Linked DNA regions of Drosophila melanogaster. The protein of the gene in region 1 purifies or fractionates together with the protein of each later gene. This does not show direct contact. Each region holds a gene or a part of one and is shown in the gene's direction. Other genes may lie near its edges.

What was found.
Region 2: the proteins of Nedd8 (region 1) and Drice purify together in Drosophila melanogaster (affinity purification with western blotting, with the first as the bait; one study listed by BioGRID). This does not show direct contact.

Annotation. Positions count from the first base shown.
Region 1 is NT_033779.5:18,950,276-18,953,650, reverse strand, and holds Nedd8 (Nedd8 ubiquitin like modifier), read left to right. Parts: upstream 1-1,813; 5' UTR 1,814-1,935; coding exon 1,936-1,953; intron 1,954-2,113; coding exon 2,114-2,244; intron 2,245-2,304; coding exon 2,305-2,410; 3' UTR 2,411-2,645; downstream 2,646-3,375. Other genes in the region: CG10621 (uncharacterized protein), read left to right, coding at 91-247, 314-493, 654-1,312; CG10428 (uncharacterized protein), read right to left, coding at 2,727-3,375. UniProt on the Drosophila melanogaster protein: Ubiquitin-like protein which plays an important role in cell cycle control, embryogenesis and neurogenesis. Covalent attachment to its substrates requires prior activation by the E1 complex Uba3-Ula1 and linkage to the E2 enzyme UbcE2M.
Region 2 is NT_033777.3:29,797,600-29,802,234, forward strand, and holds Drice (death related ICE-like caspase), read left to right. Parts: upstream 1-2,058; 5' UTR 2,059-2,298; coding exon 2,299-3,318; 3' UTR 3,319-3,985; downstream 3,986-4,635. Other genes in the region: Rnb (R and B), read right to left, coding at 1-177, 243-581, 639-1,232, 1,310-1,402, 1,509-1,670; Etfb (electron transfer flavoprotein beta subunit), read right to left, coding at 4,350-4,635.

The DNA of each region.
Region 1 (3,375 bases):
TAATTATCTCGCAGCCCGCTGACGTAGAAATGTAACTAATAATCAATTTTCAACGGATCATCCTCCACCCCTCTTAGTAATCTTTCAATCATGGGTTTGACGCGCGTGCTGGTGAAGGATGGCGGTTTCGGCACCCAGATGACCGTCCATGTGGGTGACTCTGTGGATGGGGATCCGCTATGGAGTGCCCGCTTCAATGCCACCAATCCGGCGGCCATTATCAGCACCCACCTGGACTTTTTGCAGAGTAAGCAATTGTTTTCCGGTAGCAATTGGCAACATACTAACTGAATTTTCCCCTTGACAACACCAGATGGTGCCGATATCATTTTGACCAACACCTACCAGTCCAGTGTCGATGGTTACATGGAGTACCTGGAGCTGGACGAGGAGCAGAGCATCGAGCTGATAAAGAACACGGTCCGCCTGGCCCACATCGCCAAGGAACGCTATCTCACCGAGTGCTATCAGGCGCAGCTGTCGGTGCAGGAGGGTAAGTTGACATCCATGAGGTCCAGCTCGGGCGGGATTAATTTAGATTGTGGTCAAGTGAATGATGTGGTAGGGTCATTACTTTTAATACTTTCTTTAATACTTTATTTTATATATAGTAATATTTACCAATTATATATTCCAATTTATTGTTTTTAAAGGATACCCTTTGATCATTGCCTCCATTGGACCCTTTGGGGCCCACCTGCACGATGGCTCCGAGTACACCGGTAGCTATGCCGACTTTGTGCCGGCCAAGGAGATTACGGACTGGCATCGCGTGAGGATCGAAGCGTGCTTGGAGGCTGGTGTGGATGCGCTGGCCATCGAGACGATTCCCTGTCAAATGGAGGCGGAGGCCCTGGTGGAGATGCTGTGCGATGATTATCCGGATGTGAAGTTCTGGGTGGCCTTCCAGTGCAAGGATGAGAATACCCTGGCGCATGGAGAAACCTTTGCGGACGCGGCGAATGCTATTTGGGACCTCTTGGCTGAACGAAATGCCCAGGATAAGTGCCTGGCCATCGGAGTAAATTGTGTGCATCCGAAGTTTGTGACCCCGCTCTTTAAGAGTTTGAATGGTGACCGCGAAGTGGGTGAGCAGATACCGTTGGTGGTGTACCCCAATAGCGGAGAGGTATACGACGTGGTCAACGGCTGGCAGGGAAGGGAGCACTGTGTGCCCTTGGCGAACTACGTTCCGGAGTGGGCGCAACTGGGGGCCAAGGTCATTGGGGGATGCTGTCGCACTTATGCGAGGGATATACGCCACATCGGGGAGGCCATTCGCGACTGGAACAAACTGAAGAAGCTCTCATAGGGATGAACTTCTAAGCTGGGGATCTCAGTACCTTCGAAAAGAACAAAGTAGTTATCCATTTAGTACTGTAAATAAATGTATTTAGTTATTAAGGCATACAACTTATTTTAATAAAACAGAAAAGACAAAAGACAAAAAAATACTTTTTAATTTTCTAAGATCCGAGATAAAACATTAATAAACAAATTGCTCTTAATTCAAATCCCTCAAAAGTGACGCCTTCCATTTTTTTCAAAAGTTAAAAAATGTAGTAATGGCATTCAATGGATTTTTGCATCTCATGAGTAAAATAATTTAAGGAGAATTTGAATTCTAAATATGTGAGACTTCTAACCGTAATGGGCACACTATAAATCAAGCTACAAAAAATTTACATAAATTAAGTTCTCCTTTTTCGAAATGTATTTTTTTACACGTGAATTGTGTAGAGATGGAATGATGGAGAAAATACTATATTTGTAATAGTGTGGAAAACAATCGATGGTCATCGACAGTACTATCGATAGTTGCCAGTCGTACCAACGCCGAAAGTGACAGCCAAAAAAGAGAACCAGCTGTGGAGATTTGCAAAAATTTCGGCAATTTTGAATTTGTACAGGAGCGCCTAGTTAAATACACACAAAATGTTGATCAAAGTGAAGGTTAGTGTGGAAGATATGGAGTAGCAAAAAAGTAGGATAAAGATAAATCACAGCCATCGTGCCCAGCGGGCACTTTGAACAACAACAAAATCGTCGAATATTACAGTCAATATATGTGTGGCTGGATTATTAATGTAAATATGTATTATCTTTCCATTAGACCCTGACCGGCAAGGAAATCGAGATCGACATTGAGCCCACGGACAAGGTAGATCGCATCAAGGAGCGCGTGGAGGAAAAGGAAGGCATTCCGCCCCAGCAACAGCGTCTTATTTTCTCCGGCAAGCAAATGTGAGTCTTTCTGGCTATTGGTCATTGATTTTAGCTTATTTCGCATGCGATCCCCCCCAGGAATGACGATAAAACCGCGGCGGACTACAAAGTGCAAGGTGGATCCGTTCTTCACTTGGTATTGGCTCTGCGAGGAGGTGATTCAATCCTAACACCTTGTGTGTAACTAGCGTGTTCATAAGTGGAAAACATTCATTTAAAATTCACTCAAATATATTAAGCTTGAGAAGCGTCATATGGAGAATTAATATATGTAAACTAAAAAGAAGTCTTAAAAGTGGTTTAGAAGAAAACAAAGTGTATTCGCATCGGAGGAATTTAGACAGAATGGATTGGGGCCAACCGGGTCCGTAATAAAACATGTTTTTTTGTAAGCCAACATCTAAATCATTCGAAAAAAAGAAGAACACTCCACAATGGTGGGCTAAGGTTTAAAACATATCAAAAAGGCATTTATTTTGTCTCAGTGGCAGATTGTAAGTTCAGTTCTGTTTAACAAAACGTCCGACTAGCAGGTGATTCTTTGGCGTACACTGTTCGGGCTTTAAGCGTGTGAGAATGACCTGGTAGCCCGCCTCCTCCGCCTGCAGCAGGCGATCGGTGTCCACCACGGACATGCAGTGGAGTCCTTGAAGCGTGGTTTCTGGCTTGCAGTTGGTTGTCCCCATCTCGTGTGCCTGATCTGCCGAGTGGGCAATGTACAAGTAGTCCTTTGTGTCTAACACCTTTTGGAACGCTTTGCTCAATGGGTACGAAATGTGAGGCATGGGCTGCAGAGAACCGTAGCAGCAAGGACAGCAAACAAAATGTGCCTTGGCTCTCCGGCACTGCTGCAAAACGATATCTGTCGCCGTTCCACACGCGTGCAAAGAGGCCCCGATCTTGAATCCTCCGACAAAGTAATCTATGTTGCATTGGTAAAAAACGCAGTTGGTCAAACCCAATTCGTTTGATCTTTTCTGAGCTTGAAGCAGGGAGAAAGCTTTGTTTTCCATCACAATAATGGTACAATTTGGCAGCTTGAGGGCCAGCAGTATGGCCAAATGCCCTGTGCCGCTGCAGAAGTCCACAATGCGGTCGCCCGGTTGAGCCAGGGAAACCACCGCATTGGCCAAGTTCTCTAGCTGCTGC
Region 2 (4,635 bases), on another chromosome or scaffold:
CGTCAGTTTTCTTTTTTTACCACCTTGCAGTCTCTCGTCTCGTCGACGTTTGTGATGCTCATCATCGCTGGTCAGGTAATCGTTTAGTTCCCGCACCAACATGGGCATTAGTCCTTCATACAGCATGAGTTCCATGCTTAAGTTATCATATTGGAAGTTGTAAAGTATGTGAAATAGCTGTTGGGTATGAAGAAAGCCATTATATATAGCAGATGTCAAGAGGGATTTGGTTTCCATCTCACCGATGATCGCTCGCTCTGCGAGTTGGAGTCCCGGATCATGGCCACCAGCTTGCGCAGTGCCCCACATCTCCGGATCTTCGAGCGGCTGCAGGCATCGGTGGATAGCGTCAAGATTATGTTGATGCAGTGCCGGCTCTCGCTTTCGCTAAGTGGCTTTGCCATGTTCACAGCCATGAGCATCTCGCAGGCAGCCACAATGGCATCCGCAGTGCTCAGCATGTAGAAGGCGAAGGGATCCTTGCAGAAGTTAGAGAGGATTTTAAGGGCAGAGGCCCGTTGGTCGCCGTCCTCCTTTACGAAGCACACAATGGAGGCGAGCGAGGTATTCCAGGAAATGGACTAACAAGAAATGTTTATTATGTACTACGTTTTGGAGAACTTAGAAAACAGTCTCACCTCCCAAACTTTCAGTCCAATTTGCTGCGCGGATATCAGGACCAGACACTTCAGAATCTCGAGGGCCAGCTCAACGGCCGCTTCATTTTCCTTGGGCAGCGCATAGTCACAGTTCCTTGTGGAATTCTTGAGCATCTGGTGGTCAAAGATGTCACTGCGAACACCCTCCAAATTCCGGGCTACCTCCTCGAAATACTTCTCACGGTGCTGGTTCCTCTTCAGGCCAATCAGCGTGGACATCTCGATGTCCGGAACGGGCTCCTTGGATGCCTCTTCGTTCTTCATCACGGCCAGAAAAATTCGCATCAGCTGCTGGAACCCATTGGCCATGAGGAAGTACTTCAGGAACTGGCTGCTGGCCAGAAGGAAACGGCAGACGCGGAATGCCATGATGCGGGTCTGCACCGCACTGGTGGACTCAATGATGTGGCAGATGGCCGGTGCAATGGCCGCATAGTGCACTGTGAGACACTGGGACGCCTTCTTGCTCTTGGCGATGTTTCCAAGCATCCGGCAGGCGCGGCACTGGATCAGGGGATTAGGTATGGTCTTCAGAATGGTCACCAGCGGGTGAATCACCTTGCATTCAACAGCCTTAAAGTGGAAAGTTTTAAATTTTTTTAACCGTTGTGGTTCAAAATAAAGATAAAAATGTAATCTGATAATCCCACCTCAATGCAGGACTGTTCGTCGGTGCAGCAGTTCCCCAGTATGCTCAGTACCACCTCCATTATCTTTTCATTCAGCTTGGTGATCAGTCGCACCTGGAAGACGCAATTAATAATGATTTAAAAATCGATTCGAATAACGATCCTATGTGAGCGGCAGTGGCTGTCAAACCACCATGAGCGTTGTGACTCCCAAACCCACCATGATGTGAACGCCCCCAGCAGTGCGAAATAAAACAATGCCATTTTTATCCTTCACCAGATCGGTGCGCAGCTTCACCAGGCATTTGTAAATGACTGTTCGATCCGTGGAGGTCTTTAGCACTTCCAGCATGCTCTCCACTTGCTCTGGTGTCCAGAACATTGGTAATTTTCTTAATTTTTAAACAAATTGAAACAATTCAACAAATTCTACAGTGCGTCTCAAACCTCTTTGAGAGTGTGACCGTGCATAAGAGCGTATTTTACGGTATTTTACGTTATTTTTCGAAAATCCAGCAGCGGTCTGCCTTATTTATAAACTGATGTTTACGTTTTAGCTTTGGATGCGAATTCGATTCTACAATAATAAATGGAAGCAGGCCTGTTTTTTATGTAGATTATACAAGTTCCCACAAAATTACCTCCAAGCTTTTAATTTCAAATTATTTTAATATTTTTTAAAACCCATTTAATAATTTTTCCTATATTTATTTACTTTCTTTGTTTACCGTAATCGTGACACGAGGGCTGAAGTGTCATCACCAAATCAGGCGCTATTTGGTGTTTTTCAACTGCCAACAACGGTCTTACAGAATTAAAGACAAAAACGCAATCGACTAAAGTAATTAGTTAATAACTAGCTGTCTTTGTTGCGCGTAAACACGGACTTTCCCCAGAACGAAGCTAATTTGCCCAAGTCGTGCATCCAAGCTTTTCACAGATTTGGAAAAACCTGTTTCGCAGTGCTTGTGACTCATCAGTTTTCGCAGGCTCAAGGAGAGAACTTAGCCATGGACGCCACTAACAATGGAGAATCCGCCGACCAGGTGGGCATCAGGGTGGGCAATCCGGAGCAGCCCAACGATCACACAGATGCCCTGGGCTCCGTGGGATCCGGAGGAGCGGGTAGCAGCGGCCTGGTCGCAGGATCCTCGCATCCTTACGGCAGCGGAGCCATTGGGCAGCTGGCCAACGGGTACAGCTCACCCTCGTCCAGCTACCGTAAGAATGTAGCCAAAATGGTCACCGACCGCCATGCAGCCGAGTACAACATGCGCCACAAGAACCGCGGAATGGCACTGATCTTCAACCATGAGCACTTCGAGGTGCCCACCTTGAAGTCTCGCGCGGGAACCAATGTGGACTGCGAGAATCTGACTCGGGTGCTCAAGCAGCTGGACTTCGAAGTGACCGTGTACAAGGACTGCCGCTACAAGGACATTTTGAGGACAATCGAGTATGCAGCGTCGCAGAATCACAGCGATAGTGATTGCATCCTGGTCGCCATCCTGTCGCACGGCGAGATGGGCTACATCTACGCCAAGGACACACAGTACAAGCTGGATAACATCTGGAGCTTCTTCACGGCCAATCACTGCCCCTCGCTAGCCGGCAAACCCAAGTTGTTCTTCATACAGGCCTGCCAGGGCGACAGATTGGATGGCGGAGTGACCATGCAGCGTTCTCAGACGGAAACCGATGGCGACTCCTCGATGAGCTACAAGATTCCAGTGCACGCCGACTTTCTGATCGCCTACTCGACGGTTCCTGGATTCTATTCGTGGCGCAACACCACCCGCGGCAGCTGGTTCATGCAGAGCCTGTGCGCCGAACTGGCGGCCAATGGCAAGCGGCTGGACATCCTGACCCTGCTCACATTCGTGTGCCAGCGGGTGGCCGTGGACTTTGAGTCCTGCACCCCGGACACTCCGGAGATGCACCAGCAGAAGCAGATACCCTGCATAACCACCATGCTGACGCGCATTCTGCGTTTCAGCGACAAGCAGTTGGCACCAGCCGGACGGGTTTGATGGCTAATGGTATGGATCAAACGGTGGGTACGGCGAGGTGTGTGATAAACCAAGTCGCAATTAAGTTAGAACCTCATGGGCTATCGGCCTTGCAGCATATTTTTTATACAACACTTTTTTAACCTGCCCAATTGCTCGACGAGATTGGTGCCACTGCCCGTTTTATTTTATTTAGGCACAAAGTATCTTTCGATTGACATTTATTAATGTCGCATTTACTCGTCTGTATTTATATTTTTTGGGGTGGGTAGAGTAGATCGATTTAACTTAGAAATCTAAGAGGTTTTTACTCCGGCCAAAATTTTTTGACAATTTTAACTTGCCAACTGAACAAAGACGATCTCAAAATTTTAAATTCTCTACTAAACCTTATCATAGAACAACTTGCGCCTCTTTGATTCTCGATCAGGAATGTCGGCCCACCCTTATCTATATCTACCTTAGACCATTTACAGACAAGACCTTTTTACAATTTTATACACATAGATATCTTTATAGTATAAGCCTGTGTGTCATGGTCGTCCAAAACGAAAACAAACGATTTTAGCCTGTAGTCGAGTGTTTTATGAACAATATATACTATTTCTATGCCATTTGTACTCTTATATAATGCACATTAGCAAATGTTCTCCTTTCAAGTTAACCGCTAATAAATCCGATTGAAAACAATGAGAAATCAATGACCATTGGCTGTTTGCTGTTGACCCTGTCGCCTCTTTTGGGCGCCAAGTTGAGCGGCATTTCCCGAAAAGGTAGCACGCGGAGACGGAAAAATAGACGAGTCCAGCCATTGGCTGACCCTGATCGTACGATTTCAGAGCTTACAATCACTTTATTCTTAGAGCTGGACACAACGAGAATAAATTCCAATTTATAGTTCACTTAAAGCACACGGGTATGGGTTGAATTCAGAGAAATTTAAAGCCTGTCAGCAAATCCGACTCTCCGGCTAGATAAATGCACGTTTCTGATAACTTTCGACTAATTAAAAACGTAGAATATGCGCTCACAATTTTCTAGTTGAGGAACATCTAGATGTGGCCGCCCTCCTTTAGCTTGGCCACCAGGGCATCCACGTCGGCGACGGTGGCGCCGGCCTGGCGCACAGGAGGATCCTCCACGGAGATGACCTCGATGCGGGGCGAGGTGTCCACGCCGAGATCCTTGGCCGTAACCTTCTTCAGCGGCTTCTTCTTGGCCTTCATGATGTTCGGCAACGTGGCGTAGCGAGGGGTGTTCAGCCGGAGATCGGCGCTCAGCACAGCCGGGGTCTTGGTCTTGATTGTCTCCAGGCCACCATCAATTTCACGCGTGATG